Linked DNA regions of Schizosaccharomyces pombe. Changing the gene in region 2 together with the main gene of any one other region gives a genetic interaction. Each region holds a gene or a part of one and is shown on either strand. Other genes may lie near its edges.

Region 1 (7,113 bases), on a different chromosome or scaffold from region 2:
TGAGGTTGCAAAAAGCACATCTTCATTAAGTTTACAAGACTTTATGTCACCGATATGAGTGATTCTGATTGATCTATCAATTTTCTATCTAGTTGTCATATTCTTATACACATATTTTCCCTCTAAAATGAGGATTGAAACTTTTCTGACATTTATTACAGCCTTCAGCGCCGTGTACTTCTTCCTCTTTTAGTTCAGCTCATTTGTCTTAATGTAGTTTTGATTTAAAATTTGAACTTCCCGTTTTAGATTTGATCGTTACCTTTTCCCGTTGTTTACTTTTATTTACATTTGTATTAGAACTATTCGTTTGGGTTGGACGAGTTTAGACAAGGGGCCCCTTCTTCTATTTGTATTTACTTTTAACTTATTTATTTACTATTTCTTTGATTTGTCACTTGTATGGTGCGAAATATATACGGAAATGTCAATCACAGAATAGCAAACAAATCGTCAACTTGCGGTTATTGTGCGTAGCATATTTTCAGTAGTTTTCTTTTGACAACGCCCTTATGAGCATATTTTTAAGTTTCCGATTAATCGTTCATTCCTTTACAAGAGAGGTCTCTCACTGTCTACCACCTGAAGTTGAGCTTGTGTCAATTACCAACTCCAGTTTTGCATTCTGAGGATGAGTAATAGAATTGGGCCTCAGAGATCCACAAAAACTGCAGCGAAGCTTCGGCTTCTTCCTTCTACAGAAGAATTTGATGATTTTAGAAGGCAGGATACGGGGCGCGAAGTGTACTCCCAAATTCCTCAAATAGAAGGGTCAACGGCAAAACGAGACGCAGAGCATCTTGGAAAACGGCATCGAGAATTCTTACCAAGAGTAACTGCCTATTGTACATGCGATACATTTAGAGTCGACTTGCTGTTTAAGTTTTTTCAATCTCGAAGAAGTAGTCATAAAACAAGACCTAAACAATTTGACGAATGGTTAGTTAATATTTTTGCATTTTTCTCATTCTATTGATCCTTATTGATATTTACTTGAAGAGGTTTATCTAACATTATAACAGTATTTATAGTCCGTATAGCTACAATAATGAAGAGACGACAGACTTACTTCCTGACACATTGGAGTCCTCCCGTGGAACGTTAAATCGAGAATCTTCTCAAGAAAGTCTACAAAGTATTTTTGAAGAATCCGGGTTGGACAGGAATCAACCCTTGTTTCGGGAAGTGTTTTGCTTTACTTATGGCGTTGTTGTTTTATGGGGATACACAATTGATGAAGAGCATCGTTTCTTAAGAGAACTCGGTCGCTTTGAAATTGAAAAATTAAGTATGCAAATTACTTTGGGTGACAGTCATTATCATATTGTTGTATCTTTAAGCAGTTATTAACATTTGTAATTTTTAGAGATCGAAGATATGGAGGTAGAAGAGTTTAACTACTATATAACGACTCTTTATCAACCAAGGGTATGAACATTTTTATTGATAAAAATTTTTGTCTTTAGCTCTTTTTCCTCATGGTGAAGCTAGTCGACTAACAGATATAGATATTCAACGACTTTATAGCACTTCGGGATGCATCCAACTACATGATTCGTCTTTCAATTTCACATGCTATTGCTCAATCAGTCAAAATATCACTATTTGAAGAGCTGGTCAACGAAACAATAGATGCTACTAAAGATACACCCCAAATGATTGCCGAGACTGGCAGAGTGAATTTGAAAAGAGAGGAAATTATGATGGCCGTAGGCCAGTTGTTTATTTTAAGAATTAACATTAATTTACAAGGAAGCGTTTTGGATAGTCCTGAGCTGATGTGGACGGAGCCGCAGTTAGAACCTATATATACAGCAGCACGGTCTTACTTGGAAATTAACCAAAGAGTTGCTTTACTAAATCAAAGAGTGGAGGTAATTGGAGACCTACTTTCAATGTTGAAAGAACAGATAACACATACACATGATGAATCTCTAGAATGGATTGTGGTAATCCTTATGGGGCTGTTGGTGCTGATAGCCTTATTCAGTATAGTGGTACGTTTGGCCGATGGTTTCAAATTGAATGACTTCCGTTTAGTAATCAACAATTCCAACAAATTTATTTTACTGTTTGCTAACACATTATTCTACATAGGTGGATTGGAAGCTGTTTCAATAACAACCGAAGAATCTTTCCTCTTTTTACATTATGTTTACATAATTGAAGAAATGGGAAAGGGCAAAAAAATTAAACCATATTTATCGAGTTGATTACGCATATGTTTCGGCTTTTTCCTTTAGTTTTTTTTTAGTTTCGGTTAGTTCATGATTTATTGACATTACACGGTAGTCTTCTATAATAATCCTACTTAATAGAAGATAAAGCTCTTTTTTTCTCTTCTTTGAAGATTCCTAGTTGATTTCCCACATAAAAGAACGTTGAAATGGGTTACACAAAAAAGGACAACAACAGCCATAGTACGTAGATATTGTATTGATTTCGGCACAAAGTATGACTTTTCAAAAAATTACATAAGGTTTTTTTTCTTCGGTTGCAGAGTCCAATTTTTACCATCAATCATTACATACTTCATATACTTAGTCAAAAAAAAGCATGTTAACGATTATAGATCAATGGCCGGCAAAGTGATTTTAAAACGAATGAAGACTTAAAAATAAAAACATCAAGCGCCTGCCTAAAACAAGTATTATGTCTCACCAGCTTCCTTTTCTTTATTTAACCCTTTTTTCTCGAGCACTTTAGATAGCAATTGCGCTTCATGGCGATACCGCTGAATGTCTCTTTCAACGTTGTAAATTTTCACAGCATACATTTCGCATTCCTTTTCAATTTCCGAGACTTTTCTTCGAATCCTTGCGGTTTTACGCCGATACACGTCCTCTATACGTCGAGTTCATTAGCAAAAAGTCGTCAGACAAAAATCGGTACACACCTTCAGTTTCTTGAAGCAAATTTACCACCTACGCGGTCAATAAATAATTACAAATAGGTAATAAACCTCCTACCTGTGGATCCATTCCCGAAAGCTTCACGTTCTCAGTTTCTGGTGAAGAATGCAAAGCTAGTTTGCTTAAAATCTGTATTGTATTTAACGAAAAACTGCTTACTTCGTTATAGAAGATTGCCTACTACATTACGCAACCAAGGGTTTATAACGATACGAACCGAAACCGTTATCTAGTTTTCTTACCCATCAGCTGGGTATTGCTAGTGAAAAACAAATGTCTAATATAAAGCTAATCCTTTTTTGGCTGACTTCTCTTATCCATTCATATTACATTTTTGCTTCTTTTGGGTAGAAAAAGAATGGATCATGTCTCACATTTACAATACGAAAGTCAAATTTCAATAAACAAAGGTACATCATACATGTGAACAAATATTTCAAAAACGATTTATGATCATTTCATAACAAAGAATCATGAATTTACTTCGGATAAGTTCAAAAATGATATTGTCAGCCACTGATTCAGAGTAAATCTGTCATTCGTTTTATAAATGCACTGTCATAAACGAATACTTCCAGCAGAACCAGGCTCCGGTTGCACAGAAAATTTCAAGTAATAAAGCAGTGTCTCATTGGCAAAATAATTTTCAGAAGGGAAAAAGCGAAATAAAACAGAAAGAACCTTCTGAAAGAAAATTGAAACCAAATAATGTTCAACAACGAAATAAAAACAAACAGAAATGATAAAAAGATAATAAAAAATACAAGGGTTTCACCTTGCTTCTAGCATTGAATTGAAACAATACAGACATTTATGAGTGGGCTGAAATTAAATAAAGAGGGGCGAGGAGGAAAATTAGAAAAAAGAGAAGGGGTCAAAGAGGTTTTAGACGTATATTTTTTGGTAATATAAACCAGTCTAAGATAGAGGAGTTAATATTTCATGAACAAAAGCACATAGAAATTGTTTAAAAACAACGGCAATAATAAGAACCCGGATACACAATCCAAGTATTAAATTAAAGATCCCTTCAAGTACCCAAGAAATTAAGTTATTAATCAAATAAAATAATAAACAAAGACAAAGAAGCAGAGTTTCACTTAAATAATTGTCAAATAAAAATCGACATGTTTTTTTCGACCAAAAAAAAAGAAAACTTAAAAAGAACGAAAAATAATAATTATGGGGAGATATTAAAGCGGGCATTTGTTTTAAAAGCAAAAACTTTTTTAAAAATTGGATTCAAGCAAATTCTTCCAATATGGCTCTTGCCAAATATCATCATTCCAAATTGACTGTGGAACAAGAGAGTTAAGTTGAATGAGAATGTGAAAATCTTGAATAGCTTGAGCAAGTCGTTCATCCTCCCCATCTTCTTCGTTCGTAGATAGTATATAATCGTTAAAAGACTTGTCGCCTTTTAAATCATCGTTACACTTGATAAAATCGTCATAAACAACTTTCCATGCATCAAAATCTTTAAAAGCTTTAAAGAAAACCTTGTTGCTCAGCATGGAAGGGAGAGCAACGCTAATCCATTTAGCATAATCAATTCCATTCGACCAGCTATGCCTCCACAGATATACAAATATGTCCATAAGACCAGAGGCTTGTGCATATTGGCTGTCATCTTCGGTCAACCACAAACACAAGGTAGCCACAGCACTGATTACAGTTACATGTGATGCTAAATTGTCACGGTTTTTATTGTTATCCCATGCATCACGAAGAAAATCCATCGTATCGCTAAACAACTCAGTAAGCGATCGCTGAAGTTGGAAAAATTTATCAGGCTCAATTCTTTGGGCAAGAACGTCACAATTTTCACATAGATATCGAATGAGGAGTCCAAGAACTTCATAGCATTCACAAACCGTGTACGACACAGTTCCATGCTTTCCTTTCTGACCAACTGCCTTAACTAGCATTCCCAGACTTCCTCGAATCTCAGCAGAGCAGCGACCAATCACCAAAATCATAAACCCATCATTTGGCATAATAGAGGCGGGACCAGCAGCTTTAAGAAGGTTAGAAAGAATAACGGTAGCTGAAGAAAGATTTTTATCGGTGATAAAGCGTTCAACAACCGCATCCATCAAAGGCTGGAGATTAGCACGAATGGCCTCGGAATACCATGATTGAACCGGGAATCGCGAAAACAAATCGCTAAAAAACGAGAAAGTACAGTCCAACTTCCATCCGCGTCGTTTGTCGATACCTTGGAAAATGGGACGCATATACGTCTGTACGTTGTCGAGGGCGTATAGTGCGTTTGAAAGGATTTCAAATGCTTGTTCAAATGGAAATTCGTTGATAATAAATGATGTATAGTAAAGGAGATACTTAGCTGATTTTGGGTTGGAAGACAAAGTACATATAACCGGGATACAAAGATCATAATGTTTCAAACAACACTGTAGTAAAGTAGAAACCCTTTTTTTCACTTCATAACTTCGTAAAATGGCTTCTTCACTGCAGAAAGCGAGAAGGATGGAGACGCCCAAATCTACGTACTCGTAATGAGTGGAAAGGAGCAAGCGGTCCAAAAACTTCATATCCATCCTTTCCCAGCATTTGAAGATGAGATTGGGATGATCATTGAGTAATTTTGCAAGCATGGTCAATGACACAAATTTACTTGTATCGTCCTGGGCATGCAGCAAAGAAAAACAGTTTTCCAACAACTCCATAGAACCTCTCGACTCGCCGGAAGCATTTGAATCCTCGTCCTTATCAGTAACAAAATGAACCTCCGTTACATGGTCCTCACTCAGCTTTTCAGACGCATACGAGTCATCTTCGGAGAGAAGCTGCTCATACGATATAGTGCGCACGCCTTTGGGACCCTTGTGAAGATGAAAGTGTGGAATATGCATTAAGGTGAATTGAATTGTACCTCAATAACCTATTATTTATGAAAAAAAAACTTAAAACCGAGCTCTTCTCACTGCAGTCTACGACACTAAGTAAACTTTGACAAACGAAAAGAGGAATGCACCAAAAGTCTAACAATTTTCAAATCCAACAAATTTTCGTTCAACAATCCGAAATCTCCAAACTTCTCACCTTTTTCCTCAAATTCCACTCAAATCTGCCAGAAAAAAAATGTTTCTACTTCAAATTACACCAATTTTTCTTGATTAATTAAATAAATATCGAATTTGTAGTCCTCTACGACTTTTTACTCTTTCAAGCTAGGTGTTCCGCTTATGCTGAGGCAAAAAGGCATGCCTTGAGTTTTGTCTCCAATTGACGAATAAGGTATGCCCTATCTTCTGGTACTTTGGAAAGTGCCCCCACTTGGGATAAAAAGGTAGAATGCCCCCATTTCCTTTCCTATCGAAGGCCTTAGTGGTGGTTGACATAGCAACATAGCAAATGTGCTTTATTTACATAATAGATGGCAAACGACTCTAGCTACTACGTGACTCTAAACAAAGCAAATAAACAAGCTTCAAATTGCAGAGATTGAACGTGTTTTGCTTGTAATTTATAGTTGAGGATTTTTTCTGTCTTAGTGAATCCATTTTTTGAAGAAGCGTTGTGGTAAAAAAAATGTCTAATACTGGGTTACCCAAACCATGGATTGTCAAGATTTCACGCTCCAGAAATCGTCCCTACTTCTTTAATACTGAGACGCATGAGTCTTTATGGGAGCCTCCGGCTGCCACTGATATGGCTGCCCTGAAAAAGTTCATTGCAAACGAGTTGCAGGAGTCAGTTACACCCACCGAGGCAAGCAATTCACCCAAGATTCGTGCTAGCCATTTACTCGTAAAGCATCGAGAAAGCCGTCGTCCCAGCTCATGGAAGGAGGAGCACATTACTAGGAGCAAGGAGGAGGCGAGGAAGCTGGCTGAACACTATGAACAATTGCTAAAGAGTGGCTCTGTAAGCATGCATGATTTAGCCATGAAAGAGTCGGATTGTAGCTCCGCTCGTCGCGGAGGTGAATTGTATGTATTTTGATATACTGTAATTAAATACGAGTCGCAAGACCGACAGTATATGGTGGTGCCACACTTGGTGATAAGCTCTTGTTGGTTTGCCAAGTGTAGTCTGATTTTCAACTGGAACGATTTTTACTAACACTATGTGTAGAGGCGAATTTGGAAGAGACGAAATGCAAAAACCGTTTGAAGACGCTGCGTTTGCCTTGAAACCCGGTGAAATTAGTGGAGTGGTTGAAACGAGCAGTGGG
Region 2 (6,965 bases):
AGTTACTCTTTCCTTTTTTCGCAAAAAAAGCAAATATGGTATGGTTTTTTTAGAGAATGCGTACGTTGACTTACTCACGTATTAGTTTGGCGGCAGCTTTTTCTCAAGCGACGATGATGGTTTCTCCATGATGTCTCAACTTCGGTCAGCTTTTCATAATAATGTAAATCAGCGATTTGATACTCGTTACCGCTGTTATCCTGTTGCCATGATTCCTGGTGAGGAACGGCCAAATGTCAATTATGGTGGGAAAGGTAAGGTTTGAAAATACTTTTAAGTTTTCACATTGTTGGAGATTTGATTTTATATACTCATGAAGTTCATGTGATTTTATCTTTGAGCGCTTGCTTGCGCATTTGCTTATGGTTAACATTCTCTGCTCAATATTTTTTATATTGTTATTGGGGATTATTAGTATTAACAACTACGTCTAGTAATATTACCACCTTCAGCTTTAGAAAAACTATGTACGTAATGCGAAGAGAATTTATTAAGCCTTTTAAATCTGTTAATTAACTATTAGCACGCCTGAATGTCAGTTATCCCATGCTTTTTGACTTTGAAAACGAAGCTGCAGAGAAAAAAACTCATGGGGGTGTGTTAGAATTTATTGCGGAAGAGGGACGTGTCTACCTGCCTTATTGGGTATGAAAAAATTTAAAGACTGTCAGAAATGTACTAACTAGGGCACAGATGATGACTACACTTAGCCTTGAGCCTGGAGATTTGGTTCGAGTTATAAATACTGATATAGCACAGGGCAGCTATGTCAAATTACAGCCTCAAAGCGTGAATTTTCTTGATATCACGGACCACAGAGCGGTATTGGAAAATGCGCTTAGGAATTTCAGTACGCTTACAAAATCTGATATATTTGAGATTTTGTATAACGACCAGGTATATCAAATAAAAGTTATAGATGTTCAACCTGATGACTCCCGCCATGTTGTCTCAGTGGTAGAAACCGATTTGGTAGTTGATTTTGATCCCCCCATCGGTTATGAAGAAAGTTTGCAAAAAAACAAGCAGCAAAATATTGCTGGCGTTCAAGGAACGATGGTTACCAAGATTGGTTACGATGAGCTGGTGAGGCAGGGCGATTCGAATTTGATGAAGGGAACAGGGACTAAACTAAATGGTAAAGAAGTTGCTGAAGTGCCTAAAATAAATTTGCTCGATGTTGAGAAACAAGAATGTCCTGCTCCGTTGATCCTACCATTGGGTACATACTTCTTTGGGTATCCTTATAAAGCACCCTCTATTGAAGAAGATTCTAAGAAAGACCCCAATTTATTTAAGTTTGAAGGTGCCGGTACATCTCTACGTGCCTCTCGCAAAACAAATGGAACAATGGGAAAAGGTTCCTCTGATGACCCAATCGATATTGATGCTTAATGTTAATCGTCTCAAGTTATTACTTGGTTGGATTTAGTTTATAACGATTTTAGTACCAGTCTTTTTACATTGAATGAATTAATTTATTATTTGTTTCAAAATATAATGTAATTAATTCTTACTTAGACTGCCTAGCTTTTTTTTACCAGTAGTATATTTCTTAATAAAACTTATTTTAATGCTAAAGAAATGAATGATTCGATAAAACGAATATTGACAATTGTAAGCCAAGTGCTTCCGATATCATAGAAAAAAGACAGGCATTGTGTTGAATAACTGTAATTTTAAGATAGCCTTAGGTATTACCGTAAGATGATGGACAAAGCACATCATTTGTTTCAACCTACCCTAAGTTTGAGTGACTGCTTTTTGGATGACTGTAGTTGTGTAACTGAACACACACAATTAACTTTCCAGCTTCCAAATGTCTGTTGCATCCAAGGTATGATTTAAACATTTTATCATTAAACGATTATTTTAAGGGTTAGGAAATGAACGAACTGGTAATTATTTGTAGCATGTTTTAGGGCTGTGTTTAAGGTTTCATTACTGCGACCCGAATGAAATACTTTATAGAAGTATAGCCTGTATAAAGACGCTCAAGTATTAAAAAATATAAATTCACATTTCGTTCATTATTCTTTAGAGTGTTAGCTCTGCAGACTCTGCTGATTTTTATTTTGTTTTCGCAAGTAGTAACCAAATTATAGAACCTCTTTGACCTCCTCGGAGAGGAGACTCCCGCAGCTACTACTACCGAGAAGAAAACCGCTGCTTCTCGTGACAAAAAGCGCTCCGACAGCCCTCCTGTCCCCCGCGAATTAGTCGCTCAAAGCACCACCTCTAGGAAGCGTGACCCTAACCAACCCACTCCTCGTGAGCGTACCGTTAATAAGAAGGCAGACCAACCTCGCAGACGCCGTCAAGCTCCTCAAGGAAACGAAGCCTTTGCTCGTGAAGGCAAAGAAGCTCGTGCTAACAACGCTGCCCATCCTGTGGATGCCACTGGCGCCCCCTCCAACCGCCGCAATGCTCGTGCTCGCCGTGGTCGTGAATTTGACCGCCATAGCCAAACTGGTAGAGTGTATGTGTTTTATTTTTCTACATGTGAATGCCAAATTATATAATTGCTAACCATTATTTTAGTGATACCAAGAAGGCTACTGAACGTGGCTGGGGTGATCTCGTAAACTCTGCTGCTAACCCTGATGTTGCAGAGAACGAAGGTAACACTCCCTCTGGAGCCCAAACTCCTGCTGCCGAGGAGGAAAATGTTAAGACTCTTGATGAATATCTGTCTGAACGCAAGTCCGCCGCAAAGCCTGTTGGTCGTACTGTTGAGAAACTTGAAAACGCTACTAAGGTCGAGAAGAGTGCCCCCGAAGAATTGTTTGCCTCTCTTAAGAAGAGCGCTTCTCAAAAGAAGTCTGCTGCCAAGGAAAGCAAGCCAAAGAAGGTTCTTCTTGATATCGAGCAAACTTTTACTGCTCGTCCTGCTCGCGGTGGCCGTCCTAACCGTGCTCCCCGTCGTGGTCCTTCAGAAACTGCCTCAAAAACCCAACAGGCACCTCCCACCCTTTCTGAGACTGACTTTCCCGCTCTTGCATAGATGAACTGGTGACTTGAGAGTAGCCTATTGATGTGGAGCGTTTGATTGGTCTTGGATGAAATTTCGTTGTCAAGCGTATGTGGAAAGGTGTGTGTTATCTTACAGATCCCTTTTTGTTTATTTTCCATTGAGCATCATTCGGGTTTCTAGGTTATTCAGTGATTCTTATCATTAAAGCGGTCTAAGGTGTATTCTGTGGTTGCATTCCCTTTTTTGATCCACATTTTGCGATGAATTGACTAAATATTTTTCAAAATGGTCGAATACTAGTGTGTAAAAAAAATTTCATTCTCGTATCTATTCACAACTAATATTAAGAAGATGCGCGTTTAAATCGTCTACCGACTGTTATCTTGATATAACGTATCTTATTTTTAATCTGTAAATATCAGCCTTAGTAATTGTGTACATAACAAAAGCATATTTCAGTGTACGGTAGGTCTGCCTGTGCAATTCACAAATACTCCATTTATTATTCCAATTGATTTTGTCATTTTCAAATGTCGTTTGCAGGGATATTGAAACGGACGTTGAATAAAGCCTTCTTAACCTTGTAAAATGACTATAGGAAAGTTATGAACGAGTTTGTGTATCGGTAACATAACAGGTAAATCACTCTTCATAATGCAAATTGCGGTTTACTTTTTATAGCATCATTTTTGATAGCTATTTAAAAAATTTGAAAGTTAATATAATTAATAAACTCGAGGATATGAGCAAACTGATAAAACGCGCTATATCGCGAATTCGCGCTTTAAAGGGCGTCGCGTCGCGTTGCGTTGGACACCGCTTATATACGTGCCACAAGTACGCAACAATCGACGAGTCGCAAAAAAACTGTCTCTGATTATTACTTTTCCTTCTGATTCTCTGCTACTAGGAATCTTTATATTGGTTTCCGTTTAGAAAAAATAACAAGATGGATAGGTCAATGGAACCATTGACCCCATCTCGTTTAAACACTTTGGGGGAAAGGCCAACAAACGAAGTGTATGAGTATGGAAAAGGAAAAAATGTGCAACATTTATTTCCTATAACACCGATGCAGAGACCATTAGGAAAAGAGAATGCGGCTCCAGGGACGATTTCACCGATTGCGGTTCGATCTCGAAATGTGCGTGCAGTAGAAATTGCAGATGAAAATGCATGTGAAGAGCCAGTCTTAAAAATAAAATCTGTTAGTAGTACGGAGAGTGAAGAGGAAAAAGAATCTTCTACTGAGATAGGAGAGAAACAGGAAAAAGAAACACATTTAGAACCCAAGACACCAGTACAAACCAATACCAACAATAATCACTTAGACGACATTCAGTGTTGTGCTAAAAACTTACGCTTACGTCTTGAATTGGCTATGTATAAAGTACAAGTTAATCAAACATTTTCCCCTCTGCAAGATCTTCCCATTGTCGCTAAAACGAAGCTTCACAATTGTCCAAACTCTGAACCTGTTACCTCCATATGGAACCAGAGATCGCTTTCTTCTGGAAAGCCTCCGTCCTTACATCTTTCAGGGAATCGCAGGCTTTCCATGGGATCTCCCACGAAGTCGATATATGATCAGAATGGTTTGACAACGCCAAGACCGATCGGTTCTGATGATCTAACACATATGTATGATCCTTATACCTCTCCTTTACGCACCCCTTCTCGTACGCTATCACGCTCCTCCTCTCATTATCTGTGGGTTCGTCATGGTAAATTGACACGTAGCGTATCTCTTTTACAACATAAAACGCCTAGACGCATTCGGCCAAAATCACTTTCTAAAAGCAATTCTACACCGTTAAAGCATTTAAGCGCTCAGAAACCAAATTCAAATTACTATACTGGCCCGCCTACTCCAGTATCCATATCCAACACTCCAGAAAACATTCATCCATCATCTTCCGAAGTAAGGCGTATTGCAAGTCACAGCAAGCAATTTTCAGACTATGGTTTAATTCGATGATCCTTCTTTTTACATTTTAAACCGAGTTATGGAATAATGTTATGAGATGATTTTTATAATACTTTAATTACTCTAGTTGTCGTTCATTTCCTTTCTGACAGATTTCTATATGTGAATTATTTTGAAATGCAAAAAATAACTTTTAATTCCTCGCAACACGTTCTTTTATTTCTTACTTGTTATGTAACAAGTCAGTCGTTAATAAAATTATTATCGCTGGTAAAGCCATCCTTCGTTTTATTTAATGCCTTAATTCATACGTACATCTTATATTGAGGTTTCTAGATTTCTTATATCCATTGAAATTCGTTCCCTCCGTTTGGGATCCAGTTTTTTAAGATATTACGAAGAATTTGCTTTTGCTGGCAACGTTTGATGTTGAGTTTCTTCCATTCATAATAGTTTTTTTCATTAGTCAACGATTGACTTAATTGATGCAGCAAATTCATCATACTCTTTCTACATATTAATGTTTGAGACTTTTCAACGTCTTTAGCTTTTGTTCCCGCTTTAATACCATTATGTATCACTTGAGTACACTGCATTTTATCACCGATCCATATCAAAACGTTTGTACTAGTTGCAGTTTTTTCTGCTTGGTTCAACGGCCGTGAATATAAAAAATTTTCATCCGTTTCCAGCACGGTAAAAGGATGAAAGTAATAAGGATTATCCTTTTCTCCAAATTCAGCAAGTGGTGCGCACCGACCAAAGGGTCCAAATGCTCTGTCAATTGCTGATTTAACTATCACTTTTTTATAAAGCACTACACATGATAAATAGATGGGCTCACAAATGAGGCTGGTCTGGGAATTCAAAATAGAAAGATATTGTTTTGCAGCTAATTTATCAGTACAGCTTTTGCTCCAGCTTACTGGGGCATCAGGTCTCCCCGGTTTAGTACGCACGATTCCAAGTAGTCCAAAATCCGCCCTCCCACGCATTAATTTCTCTGAATCAACTGTTAAGTTCCATGGTTTGTTGTTTTCCAAGCGGCTAGCTAGTAGCTCCATACTCGCATCTCCGCAAGGACATTCGGAAACGTACAGATGTATCAGAAGATTGCTGTTTAGAGTAAATTTACCATTATCAGCAACTTCAAGAAGCCACGTATCTTTCTTTGATTCTTTAATTAAAATACAATGTTCGAGAAGTAATCTTAATTCTTTTATTAGTAACGAATACTAACAAATATACAAATAATTGTATATATTACCTGTTAAAACATCTTAATGCCAGAATCTCAGCATGACAATCATGTAATACACTACCCAGTTGTTCATTCTTAATGATGCCAGCTGGCGTACTAAATTGACTTGTTAATGAAAAAAATCAATTGGTAGCATACCATTTTACACCTGTTCTTTAGATGTCAGTTTACCGATATTAATAAAAAAGACGTACGCTAGACAAACACAAATAAATTCGTTCTCCATCTTTTTCTGAATGACAACACCGGCTAAAGTAGTCCATTCACGCACCCCATTTGCTCTTATGATCGGTTTGCCATGACGGGCTAGTTCATCAAATTTGTTAAGGACTGCAAGAGCTATTAAATTCCCAACATTACTGTTTCTATCTAGGGTAAATTCTTCCATTTTCTAATGAATTTCATAAATCCATACTTTATATTCAATTGTATTAAGAAAAGAGTACTTCGGGAGCGTAAATCCTGTGATATGTTGTGACCGTAATTAAATACTAATATTTTGTTTCCAACTGTTAATTAATAACAATTGGGTATTCCTAATAGCAAAGCTTATTCGCTGTAAGTGATTGAAGTACAAATGTTGGCAAAAGCATTTGTGGTAGTGTGTTGAAGCAAGTAATTTTGTCTGCATACGAGTAATTTACCAACTACCACAACTATTAGAATGTCACTTTTTGGACAGGCTACAACATCTACAGTATCTAATGCAACCGGTGACTTAAAAAAGGATGTGGAGGTTTGTTAATTTTACATATACGCTACTTACATTTGCTAATTACACGATAGGTTGCCCAACCCCCGGA
Region 3 (8,517 bases), 1.5 Mb from region 2:
CTTTTGCCTAAAGGGCTGGTAACGCATTTTCCTCATTACTTTCCATACCCATCGTAAGACGACTCTCCAAATTCTTGACTAGCAATTGCTGGAATGTTACTTGACCGCTCCGCTGTAGTGTGTCTCTTTCCTTTTGTATGCCGCACACTCTATTGAAAATGGGTATTTGGATTGAAATTCATTCGAATGGTATAGGAATATGCATTTGTAAAAATAATTTGTATCTTAATTTTTATCGCGCGCATTCAACATTTATTTATTAATACTTTACGTTAGGACAAACGGTACTGAGCATTCCTCTTCTCATACATCATTCGGTATGCCCAACTCCATATTAAGTATCTTTTTCAACTCCTCAGATTCCTTTTCATGTAGCATAGTCATTAAGAAAATATTTATAAATGTTTTCCTTTTAAAATCTATATTCAAGTTCTCACTTGTTTTAGAAATAAACTTTTTCCGTTTAATTCCCAACCGTTCTACAAGCTAATGTTTACTTTATGATCATTTTTCCATTATGCAAACCCAATAATAAATCCCTCTATCCTACTGTCTGTCTCTCTCTCTATGCATATTTGAGTTTTAAACAATCGAGTTGGTTCATGGTAAAAATGCTTTTATTCATTTCTCCTAGTAATACAAAGTATTATTAAAAAAAAAGAAGAGAAGAAAAACCCTCAAGGGGTTTAGTAAAAAAAAATGTAATTCGTTATTGCTCATGATTTTCATGAATTCAGTGCAAATAATTCGTTAAAACGCTAGTAGTTTTTTAATTCAGCTAATAAACCTCATAAATTCAATGATAAAATATACTATCTTTAAGTAATGACAGTTGGCTCCTTACGACCAGTCAATTCCTCCAGAGCCAAGATTTCAAGAGCTGCATGAACCACTGGCTTCAATGCAACTTGAGCATCAAGATCAAACTTGCTCGAATCTGATTCGTGCTTCTCCATGTAGAGTCGTAACGTGGCTCCGCTGGATCCAGTACCGGACAAACGTGTCACAATTCTACTACCATTCTCAAATTTGATGTATAATCCTTGATGCTTGCTTTCGCTACCATCAATGGGATCATGATACTCAAAATCACCGGCTTCAGAAACGACAAAACCAGGCAAAACTGCCTCTCCAACCTTGCTCTTATCATCGGCAATGGCACGCATTCTATCCATCACCTTACCGGCAGCTTCATTTTCCAACTCTTCATAATCATAACGACTGTAGAATGTACGGCCATAAATATTGTAAAAATCTTTCTTAACATCGATCAACGTCTTGATCTTGGGGTTTTGCGCGTTCAATCCAGCAAGAATGTTCAACCAACACAAGATTCCCCAAACGCCATCCTTCTCTCGAATGTGATCACTACCGGTTCCAAAAGACTCTTCACCGCAGATGGATAAACGCTTAGCATCAAACAAGTTGCAGAAGAACTTCCAACCAGTAGGAACCTCATACACATTCTTTCCCTTATACTTGCCAACTCTGTCAATGGCGCCAGATGTGGGCATTGAACGAGCAAACCCATGAACACCTCCATCACGGAAGTATGGAATTAATTCGGCATGATGGGCAATGATGGCTACACTGTCACTAGGTGTGACGAATGCATTGGCACCATAAATCATGTTACGATCACCATCACCATCAGATGCTGCTCCCATTACAATGTTATCCCGATCAACACGAGCCACCAAACTCTTGGCGTAAGTGAGGTTAGGGTCAGGATGACCACCACCAAAGTCGGGAAGAGGTTTGCAATTCTGACAAACTGATGAAGGCATACCGAGTTCCTTACAGAAAAGAGCCTCACCGTAGGGACCAGTGATACCATGTAAAGCATCAAAGACAAATGTAAAATCGGGGTTTTTGGATAGGAAGCTGCGAATCAAATCAAAGTCAAAGATTTCTTTCATCAACTGAACATAATCCTTGACCGGGTCGATGACTTCAACCGTCAATGGGCCATATCTACGGACACCGGTCGTCGTTAAATCCAAGGGAGGAATCTTTACCATTTTGTATTCGGATATGGTTTTAGTAATGGAATAAATTTTCTCAGTAACAGATTCAGGTGCTGGTCCACCATTGCCAAGGTTATATTTAATACCGAAATCGTTCTTGGGACCACCGGCATTATGAGAAGCGGTCAAAATGATACCGCCGGTTAGCTTGTACTTCCTAATAATGTGACTAGCGGCGGGAGTAGACAGATATCCATTTGTACCAACAATGATCTTCTCAACACCATTGCCAGCAGCTATAGCAGCAATGACTTGGATGGCATGAAAGTTGAAATAACGTCCATCACCACCGACAACTAGATGGGCTCCTTTGGCAGATGGTTCAACTACATCCATCGTAGCTTGAACAAAGTTCTCAACGTAATTTGGTTGCTCAAAGACAGTAACCTTCTTGCGAAGACCTGATGTACCAGGGCGTTGGCCCTCATATGGTTTCGTTGGGATTGTTTCGATCATGTTGTGTTCCTATGAGTAAACAGCCTCGACTTATGCAAACTCTAGACTTTCAATAAAAGATAGATGATATTATTAATCGTTTCTTGTTTTGCTTCGTAAAAAGCTAAGGAGTGTTCGGATATGCCACAAAATGATTCACTAACTTTTGTGTTATTTTATATGCTCAGTATGGTAGAGGGGAGAAACACGGGTACCATGTAAATATAAGAGTTACGAATTTTTAACGAACTTCACTGTGATGTAAGTGGCTTCCTTGTTGTCATTTTGCAGTGCAAATGTAAATAAAAGTGACATTATGTAAACAAATCATCTTACCGCTCAGGTAACATAAATAAATACATTATTCATCATGCTTCATGGTGTGAAGAAAAAATGTTAGTCAAGTAGAGTCGGTTAGGCCTAATTATTACTTCAATGAACGAAACGATATTACACTATAATTTTACCCAAAGACTCCTTTCATACGCTTAGAACCAGTTTTGTTATCCATTTGTAGGATTTCAGTACCAGCTAGTAAACTTCACTATATCACCAAACCACAAATTAACTCAATGTAACAGCAATACCGTAATGTGTATAACTGTCTAAGAAGCCTAGAATAGTATTGTATATGCGGTATAAAAATACCTTTTTATTACTGGGATAAAACAATTGAATATAAAACTAGTTATTGAGAATAACAGACTATAGTTTCCAAACCAGCAAAAAATTTAGAAATCGAATAGCATTATTAACTAATCGATAAATACAACATTTCAGAATATATTCACTCTCTGAACAAAGAAAAGAAAATTGTGAAAGCCATGTAATATTAGTATAAGTCTTAAAGTAAAAGCTCAGTGGATGAAATTAGGAAATAAGTTAAACGTATAATATTTCAAAGCATGCCGTAAAAGGTTGCTAAAAAAAGTTGCAATGGCTCAGGGCAGACACGGGAGGACGATAAAAAATTAAGTTGCCAAATGGAATATGAATAGGCACAAATGGAAAGATGGGGAAATGTAATTATAGATACTCAATTAAGAAAATCGTGGTGATATTGTGGTGATATTACCATGAATGACTAACGACCAGCGTTTGTCAAAATGCATTTTCATCAAGAATAGAGAATAGGAGGTTCTGATCTACTACCAAAAGTTCAAACGAACGATTATCATGAATAAGGCAGAAGAGTATTTCGTGATTGGGCATTTATATAAACGGTATCAAACACAATTACAAAATGCGAAAAAAAGTTATCGTAATAAATTGTGCCTGTTTTCATCTTTTGTATTAGATCGTGATTTTTGTGGTGATGAATACGCAGGTAAACGCATTTGCGGTGGGGGAGCAACAAAGGAACCTGACGAGGAAGATGGAACCCTTGATTTTAACGAGAACATTTTATTCCCAATAGAATTCAGGTTTGGAGGGAGAATGCCAATTTGAGAATAGTCATTAAGGTCTACAGAGGATGTTGGGTTATCTGAACTAGAAGAAGGCGCCGAGTCAGCAAACAAGAGTTTGGGCTTAAAAGTAGATAAATCAGTTCCAGGCCTGAAGGATTTCTTGATTCTTTTCCCCCGAAAAACATAGTACAAACCATCAGAAGGAGGAGGAGTAGGCTTTCTCTTCTTTCTTGACAAAAGCTGGTTATCAGATGAACTGAGAAAAGGATTGTGTTCTCTGTCTTCTTCCATACATCTTTCTAAAGAATTACTCCGATCTTGTAGCATTAAATTTGGTAGTAATTGCTTTTTGGGAGTTTTAGCAGGTGTAGGTGGAAATGTGCTAACTTGAGGTGCTGGTAAATCGCTTTCAGGGATTTCATCTATCATAATAGAAGAATTACCTTCTAACGAAGCATCGATGACTCCTTTAAAACTCCCAGGAGACTCTGGGGTAGATGGAGTACACAACCCTCGCATAGGTGGTGTTGAAGGTTCCATAGCGAACTGACAATCCAAAAACCAGGTAAATGCAAGAAGAAATCCTTTATGTATCGAGCGGATTATCAGAAGAGCGTGTATTCAAGCTTTCCGATATGATTTAAAAAATGTATTTTTCAATGGTTTTTGGGTGTAGGAAAATTCAGCACCAGAAATGTTCACAAGTTACCTGTAGCAAACGAAAAGGTAACAATTTAATACCCACCAAGCTAGCGACTGCGCTTTGATAATTATACAATTTAAACAATATTTGTAAAATTGTTTGAAATAATATAGAAACAATTGAAATGGCTTCAATATATCAAAAGGAAGGAACAAAATGGGATTGTAGCTTGTAAGAAAGGTATTGAAATTTTCGGAGTAAACAAAAAAAAGGAATCTTTTAGAAAACGGGAATGGGAAAATGTCTATTTTAAAAAGCAAAATTTCACTTCATACCAAGAAGTAAGTGCAGCTAAAATATCAAAGAATCAACCAATCAAAAAAAGATATGTGCCAACTTTAAAATTGTAAATAGAATAATTAACAAGGAAAAATATTCTTTCTAATGTTAGAATTTAAAAACTAGTTGGTTGTTTGCTTAGACGAATTCAACTTTTTCACATAGAAATTGAATGCTCGATTTCTTATAAAGATGCTACCGTTCCTTGTAAAGAGTATAATTCAAAATTAAATTTTAAAAATAAAAAACTGATAAAAAAGCGGATTCTCTTTGACCAAATTCGTACAATTTAGTAATATATTACTGCAGCACTCAAGTAAACACACACGAATCAAGACTAAACAAGATCAATTGATTGTATATTATATATAATCCAAAACAAAAAAATTCAGTTTGCAACAACCGCTGTCAAGGAACCCAAAGCTTATGTATGTAGTAGTAGAACTGTATGTTTGACGTTCTGGTTAACTGGTTATTTGCTCATTTCGTGGTAACCATTACTATTAGATGGCTGTAACGCAGTACGCTAAATTAATTACTTTGATCAAGTACAATTTTTGCATAAATGTGTAGTTAGATTTTAAATGAGAATCGATTTTCTGTTCTCTTTAGCAAAAATCTAAAAAATTTACTAACAATTTTAAGCATCATAGAAATATTCCAGTTCGAAAATAAAAATATATGACTGCAAAACCGTAAATAAAAGTAAACTACATTTGAAGTTCTAATAAAGAAGAAACTTCGCGAGTATGGTAAATGAAATAAGTCTCTTATTGTTATTTAAAAGCAAGTACTATCAAAACTAATTCAAGGGATATTTCGTTAAGATTGTTCCTTATTAGCAAATTGATGGTATAAGCAATATTTATTACCTTAGCTCAAATGCAGGAAAAATGGATTTATGAAGAATCGACTATCTTTCAAACACCATTTTCAAATCGAAATGGGAACAGCAATATGCAAAGTAAATACACGGTTGCTACATCGCTAAGTATTTCCAAAATATATCACAATTGTTAAAAATTAAATCGTGACAATGTTTATTTATGTGTTTAAGGAATACGCTACTAACATAATTTATCAAAAAATATTATAAACATATTGGTCAATAATTAAAATATTCATAAATGAATGTTCATGTTATGACTTATTTTACGCTTCATTACCTATTGTTTACAATAAATAGTATCAATGCATTTGCCAAATGAAACAATTAAAATGATAGGTTCGTTAAATTAAAAATTAAAAATATGTTTCCTCTTCAAAAACTATTATCAAAATGTAATGCACATAACTAACTCTTTATTCAATTCATTTCTTCTTCTCTGCCTGTGTAAACACTAACCTCTGCCTCATATTTCCTATCGTTCTTATTCTAAGGGACAACTGGAGTCGCTGCAATTTTCTTTTCAAACTGTTTCATTTAATTTATTATATTTTTTGTAAAAAAAAATAAAAACAACCTTCGTCTACTCTTTGTACTGAATTTCTTTAAACAATTCGCACATCTTCAATCGAATACTTTGTTAGGCTTAAATTGCACACAAGAAATTATTTTCTATACTTGAGTTAATTATATATTTTTTAGTGATTTTTTCTTGTCTTCAGTTAATAGGATAGTCTATCTTTTTCTTTGAACATGACATCTGAATTGCAACAAGAACTACAGATTTTAAGGAGCTTTAATTACACTATAGAAAAGCTTACGGATGGTCTTTCTGCTTCTAAAGAAAAAATAAAGTCATTCGAAACCTCCATTAACAACTCGAATCGTCTAATACAATTATGGTCATCGGTTCTAAGCCAAACGGAGCATACTCAGAATCTAATACTAAATAGCGACTGGAAAGGTTTGTCTTTTGATAATGAAGAATTAGAAAGATTGCAACATCAAAAAATGCTTCAAATACAAGCCGAAGAGCAGAGAAAGATCGAATTACAACAAGAACAAGAACGACTTGAACAAGAACGAAGGCAAAAAGAGGAAGCTATAGCTCTTCAAAAACAACAGCAGCAAAGGTTATTAAGGTCTAAAGATCCAAAGGTCCGACCTGCAAGAAGAGCCGCATCTTCATATGTACCTTCTAGGCCTTCCCATGTTCCCAAGGTCTTCATCCATGAATGTGCGTTCTCGGGTTAGCATGGCTACGACTTCTAACCCAAACTCACTTAGGACTCCTTCTTCATCTTTTGCAAGTCATCGCCAATCCGCAATTCCAAAATCGGCCACCTCCTCTGCTCCTACTATACCAACATCCAACTTGCCATCCGTAGCAAGTTCGATTCCTAATAATGGTCTCAATTCTTCAAATAGAAAAAGTATAATTTCTAAAACTTCCTCTAGACTTCGTCCACCTTCACGAGTCAGTAATGTGCCCTCCGTTCCTCAGCACCCCTCAACTCGTAGCAGGACAAGCACTCGTGAAACCACTCAACCACCTTTCACCACGAATCCGTCCAATCGCTCAAAACGAACTACTTTACGATAGTTTTAGGGATTTGAAGTTTATTCTAAAATCGTTTGCATTAAAAAAGCTACACAAGTAATTGTAAACAGCTTTTTTACTCATATCATTTAAATTATATTGTTCATTCCACACTTTCAACTTTACTTTCAATACCCAATCTTTTTAATTACTAAGGCTCCTAAACTTATGAGAAAGTACTGAACTATCTTTATGTTAGAATTTGTTCAGGAAAATGCCTATATTTTAAAACCTATTTTGTTTTGAAACATTGACGTTAAGCGTTTATTTTATTTATTCTAAATTTTCTTTTTTGTATTGGAAAACCCCGAGGTTCTGCTAAATGACGGACACCGCGAAGTATGAGAAAAGCAGTGCTCGCTGCTGGATATGCTATGAGGAATACGACAAAAAACTATGCTCCCTTTCAAATGATTCTTGGAGACGTCCGTGTCGGTGTTCACTCATTGCTCATGAAAGTTGTTTGATTTCTTACATTACCAGATCTGGCAGTACTCGTTGTCCTCAATGTCTTACCGCATATAGAATTGCTAAACCGCCAAAGGAAAAGTCTTGGGCTGTAAACGTTCTTGGAATCGGTCATTCCCTTGAAGCTGGTCTAGCTCAAGTAACGTTTGGTGTAGGTTCTTGTTTAGGTATTACCAAGTTTATTTATTCAATATTCAAACAGACTGGAATATGGATATGTAAACAGGTGGCAGATGAAAGCAGCCTGATAGAAATGTTAAAAAAGCCAGTTTTCTCCTCTGTCGTATTGCCTTTATTACCATGCATGTTGGTTCGGTTCTACGAAGCTCCGCCTTATGATATAGCATTTAGTCTCTACACGCATTTTTCAATTTATAGTTGCGCGGAAAAGATTTCGAATACCTCACTTCTACTGTGCACTCTGCCTTGGGTAAGATCTTTATATAAGGAACTAATGACCCGTATATTTGACGGTATTGTAATTGGAGCGGACGGGGAATTTGAAGATTCTGAAACTGATTGGTTTCGCCAGTTTGAAGCACAAGTAGAGCATCGTAACCAAGTCGAGGATGTAAACGAAAGAGAAGATACAGAATCTGAATTTTGGATTCTTTTGTCTGTGGCACACGTTTTCCTTGATGCTTTTACTACGAAAATTCTCCGTATTGTTCGACCGATTCTACTATTCCCATTAGCAGGGAAATTTTTGG
Region 4 (4,315 bases), 3.7 Mb from region 2:
CCAGCATACTGGAAGTGACAATAGGAGATATACCTAATTCCATGAGTGTTCTTATAATGGTTAGTAAATGCATAAACACATTTTTTAAAAAATGAAAAATAAGGAAGTTAAAGAGTAATCTCTTGTCAGTGATGGTTACAATACCTTCACTCATCCATATTTCTTAAAAACATACCCTCGATTGGCAGCTAAAATCATACGTAGCCAGCTGAAAAAGTCATTAGCTTTAGAAAATTAAAATTTAAACAAAAATAATAGTCTTACAGCAAAGGATCCGAAGAGTCTGAAGAGACAATTCCATATAATGGTACTTGAGACATAACCAAAAAAATCAACAAGGTGACTCCAGTCCATAACATTTTTTGCTTGAAAGGGACCTAGATTCGATATTAGCTTTCGATGTCTCTTATGAGATACATATGCTACATACCTTTCGTTCGGGTGCAGCAATCTCCGGTAAGAATGGCGCGAAAGGCTTTACAAGGTCCAGAAATCGTACTGTATAGTGTTAGAAATCAATAAGAAATAAAGCATGGTCTTACAATCACTCATATTGTATAATTTAATTAGATTTCTGCCCAACTAAACTTGCTGGTTCTTGTTGACAGTGAAGTATCATACTGAGGTTTTGGTGGTGAATTAAATTAAGGCAGCAGAACGATGGAGATAACTATTCACTTAAATGCGATAACAAGTAAATATTTCGTTTCATTATATAGTTAATAAATACGCTATAATACCAGTATAAACATTTGTTGAAGCTGTAATGAATGCCTGAATTGCCCATTTAACAAGCGTTAGAGAAGTTTTTTAAGCCGATTAAAATTCAAAATAATAACTGCTGAAATGATTTTACTTCACATAGGGATTAAAAGGAGATGCGATTTCCATTACGACCCAGGCAACAAGGTTGACTAATAAATCAAGATCATTAATTTAATATGGAATAAGAAGGGAACTAAAGGCTATGATGAAAGGCTTAATATGTGTACCGATCTAAGATGCCAACTGTTTCACCAAAAAATGAAAACACAATATTGTTTTACCAATTTGTAATTGGGAGATTGGATCAAATAAATTGATTACCAATTCATGACCTCAACAAGTAATTCTAGTTGTTCATAAGTGTTAGCCTCTTTCTTGCAATTACTATCCACGTGATTTAGATGTTTCTGTGGAACAACAGCTATCTGGATAAAAAAACTTTGGGACAAACGAGAGTGAAACATTTTTAACTTAAATTATTTGCATCACTCTGAAAGTTATGAGTTGACTCATTCGAAGTCAGTTGAGAGATGAATCACAGACACTACTTATTGAGAACTTTAAGCAATGGAAAACTTGATATCGAAGGAGCTATCAAAGTCAATATTAATTGAATGAGGACATTATGCAAAGAACGTATTTTGGTTCATTATAAGGAAACCTCTTTTTAGTATCTTTCAAACAAGCAGGAGCTTCATGAATGCAAGGCCGGAGAGAAATTGGACTAGCCTACTCACAGACTAGAAGATTACAAAACTTCAAAGGATATGTCTCAGTACGAAGATCGTACCCTTAGCGCAAGAGTATTGAACCCTCGTCAAATTAGTGAGCAATATCAGAAAAAAGTTTTTGTATTAATTCCTTGTAAACTTTACGTTTCAGTAAAAGGAGCCTAGTCGTTCTTCTTCATTCCCTAAGCTTTTTCATAACTTCAATGCGTGAATTATTGTACAATTTGTAGTAAACTTCCATTTATTAAGTCTTTGAACTAAATGGCTTAAAAATGACAATATTCCTGAATATCCTTTGCAGAGTAGTTTTCGACGTGAATTGCGAGGAAAATGAACCTGTAAACTTTATTGAAGACGAGTCAAATTATTGAGTTATTTAATATAAGTCCAAAGAAAAGCGTTTTTTAAATAGTCATTATTGTGGTATGTTGCTAGTTGAATGTTATACACTTCGTTGTCCACACCAGTTACTGCTTGTGCATACAATAAAGCTGGATGCTTAAAAAATTGACTGGCATCATTGTAATTTTATAATCTACATATGCAAAAAGCCCATGAACTTTTTTTCTTGTACATAGACTCTAGAAAGAGGAAATAAATTGATCGATTTTACTATCAGACAAAGGCGTTTGTTTATGATTGTTGAGATCATTCAATAAACCTTTTAATACTTCCTGATACGATTTTTGTCTTTAGTCCATTTTTACGAGAAGTACAAACAATCGGTCTGATAATTTTTCACATATCGTATATTAGAAGATGGATTCCACAGCTCAACAATTTCCTTTGAACCACGACCTGCAAGTACAAAAAGACCAGAAAGGTGTTGTAGAGGAAGATGAGGAGCAAATACATAAGCGCATTCGCAATTATGAATCACATTCAGGATTCTCTGAATATTGTACTCTTTTCGGTCATGAGAAAAGTGTTACATGTGTCAGCGTTTCCCCTAACAAACGATGGATCGCTACCTCTTCATCCGATGGAACTATAAAGATTTGGAGCGCACTTACGTTTCGACTTGAATGTACACTTTTCGGCCACTACCGAGGAATATCTCAAGTAAAATGGGCAACTGGTAGTAAGTATCTAGCTAGCGCTTCTGACGATAAGACCATAAGGATTTGGGATTTTGAAAAACGGTGCAGTGTGAGATGTTTAAAAGGTCATACAAATTACGTTTCATCAATTGACTTTAATCCATTGGGCACGCTTTTGGTGTCAGGATCATGGGATGAGACTGTCCGTATATGGAATCTTCAAGATGGAACTTGCCTTAGGATGCTACCTGCACATTCAGAACCTATTATATCTGTTTCTATATCAGCTGACGGAACTTTATGTGCGACTGCTAGTTATGATGGAATGGCACGAATTTGGGATGTTCTCAGTGGCCAGTGTTTAAAAACATTAGTTGAACCCATTAATGTTCCTTTGTCTAATCTCCAGTTTACAGAAAATCGAAAATATCTGCTTGTAAGTAATCTTAACTCACAGATCCGTCTTTGGGATTATCGCCGAAACCGTGTGGTACGAATATTTGATAGCCACGTGAATACAAGATATTCTATGTCTTGGGATTGCTATTCTTCTAAAAATATTCCTAAAAATACTGAAGCTTTACCCAATAATGACTCTTCCTACCCTGATGATGCAGAATCTTTCATGCACGATGCTTATCTTTTAATTCCTAGTGAAGATGGAACAATCCAAATTACAGATCCGAGTACAAAAATAATTATTGACGATTCAATTAGGCATTCCGATGATCCAGAAACATCACTTTTAAATGTAACCAGTTTAGGTCCTTTCATAATCACATCAGGAACTGATCCTTATGTACGAGTTTGGGCTCCTTCTCTTCTATTGTCGAAGCACGAGAAAGATGGCTTTTCACCTTAACCTGAATTGTTGACAAATAATGTATAAAGTTTAAAGAAACTACTTGGAATTACGATGAAGATAATGATGCTAAAGGTTTACGTGCGAAAACAAGCTCCTTACTTCCAATCCAAAGGCTAGTTGGCCTATGAAAACTTAAGTGGATCGATACATAGAAGATAAAATTAATTTATACAGTCTTCGATTATTCTTTACAGAAGATTTCTCGAAGAACGAATGTCGGCCAAGTTGATATCCTGAAATTGATGGTTTTTCTAATTTTTCTCGTTTATTAAACCAGTTATATTCATTTTGTTACTAATTTTCATCATCTAGTTTAATTCGACAGATTTTAAAGGGAGATAAATTTTTTACTTTTTTTTCCTAATATTTATTCCTTTACCACTACTGATATTCTAATAAGGTAAAACTTTTTTCGAATTAAATCATTTGGCCGAGTCAAACTTAAAATAATTGAGAAAAAAACGTATTACCTGATTTTCAATGAGTGAAAACCCAGCACATAAGGATTTGGACAGTTTGCAGGTTGACGAGAAAGCAAAAAGTTGGATTGCTGAAAAAGTTGAAGAGGAGCTCCGAAGGTTAGAGTCAGTAGGTGCTAAAGCGATCCCCTTAGATGTTAAGAATTACAGTGTTATGTTAGATGAAGACACGGATACTGTGGTAAACAGAATTGAGTTGATGACTAGCTTCGACTTTGATCATGTTCAACAAATTCTTCTATCCGCCGTACAGCCCTATCCTTATGATAAAAACTTAATGTTTGTTTATTTGGTGATATTAACGCCTCTTCCACACCCTATGTTAATTCCATATTTGTTTGCACCCAAGGTCGTAGGCAAGAATCTACTACCCCGTGCTGACGGATTGGTAGAGAATACCTTGAAAAGATGGACATTCATTAATGATAAGCTCAA

Evidence for each region.
Region 1: mutations in nrm1 (region 2) and hap2 impair growth when combined (synthetic growth defect), as found in Schizosaccharomyces pombe (2 studies listed by BioGRID, with this or other methods).
Region 3: of nrm1 (region 2) and rum1, changing one suppresses a phenotype caused by changing the other (phenotypic suppression), as found in Schizosaccharomyces pombe (one study listed by BioGRID).
Region 4: of nrm1 (region 2) and swd3, changing one enhances a phenotype caused by changing the other (phenotypic enhancement), as found in Schizosaccharomyces pombe (2 studies listed by BioGRID, with this or other methods).

The regions. Positions count from the first base shown.
Region 1 is NC_003421.2:658,201-665,313, forward strand, and holds hap2 (Ino80 complex subunit), read right to left. Parts: upstream 3,010-7,113; 5' UTR 2,982-3,009; coding exon 2,970-2,981; intron 2,925-2,969; coding exon 2,897-2,924; intron 2,845-2,896; coding exon 2,651-2,844; 3' UTR 2,540-2,650; downstream 1-2,539. Other genes in the region: rpp21 (RNase MRP subunit), read left to right, coding at 1-58; sif2 (Sad1-interacting factor 2), read left to right, coding at 632-939, 1,023-1,288, 1,367-1,428, 1,509-1,997, 2,098-2,121; protein asi1, read right to left, coding at 4,142-5,788; peptidyl-prolyl cis-trans isomerase Pin1, read left to right, coding at 6,468-6,868, 7,014-7,113.
Region 2 is NC_003423.3:4,282,119-4,289,083, forward strand, and holds nrm1 (protein nrm1), read left to right. Parts: upstream 1-3,825; 5' UTR 3,826-3,923; coding exon 3,924-4,952; 3' UTR 4,953-5,242; coding exon of another isoform or gene 5,243-6,110; 3' UTR 6,111-6,168; coding exon of another isoform or gene 6,169-6,258; 3' UTR 6,259-6,300; coding exon of another isoform or gene 6,301-6,315; 3' UTR 6,316-6,356; downstream 6,357-6,965. Other genes in the region: Hrd1 ubiquitin ligase complex subunit Ufd1, read left to right, coding at 36-38, 86-254, 435-467, 524-645, 694-1,395; oga1 (protein stm1), read left to right, coding at 1,820-1,837, 2,106-2,479, 2,542-3,004; tad1 (tRNA specific adenosine deaminase), read right to left, coding at 5,243-6,110, 6,169-6,258, 6,301-6,315, 6,357-6,550; nucleoporin Rae1, read left to right, coding at 6,827-6,898, 6,949-6,965. UniProt on the Schizosaccharomyces pombe protein: Negative regulatory component of the MBF complex involved in cell-cycle-dependent transcription.
Region 3 is NC_003423.3:2,796,483-2,804,999, reverse strand, and holds rum1 (CDK inhibitor Rum1), read right to left. Parts: upstream 5,324-8,517; 5' UTR 4,412-5,323; coding exon 3,719-4,411; 3' UTR 3,083-3,718; downstream 1-3,082. Other genes in the region: pgm1 (phosphoglucomutase), read right to left, coding at 819-2,483; SPOM_SPBC32F12.07C (MARCH family ubiquitin-protein ligase E3), read left to right, coding at 7,662-8,517. UniProt on the Schizosaccharomyces pombe protein: Regulator of cell cycle G1 phase progression. Ensures the correct sequence of S phase and mitosis in the cell by acting as an inhibitor of the cdc2 mitotic kinase. Probably interacts with cdc2 to inhibit its action until the cell mass for Start is reached.
Region 4 is NC_003423.3:546,415-550,729, forward strand, and holds swd3 (Set1C complex WD repeat protein Swd3), read left to right. Parts: upstream 1-1,949; 5' UTR 1,950-2,255; coding exon 2,256-3,398; 3' UTR 3,399-3,815; downstream 3,816-4,315. Other genes in the region: translocon alpha subunit Sec61, read right to left, coding at 1-50, 176-208, 265-377, 431-498, 543-552; SPOM_SPBC354.04 (uncharacterized protein), read left to right, coding at 3,882-4,315. UniProt on the Schizosaccharomyces pombe protein: The Set1 complex specifically methylates 'Lys-4' of histone H3.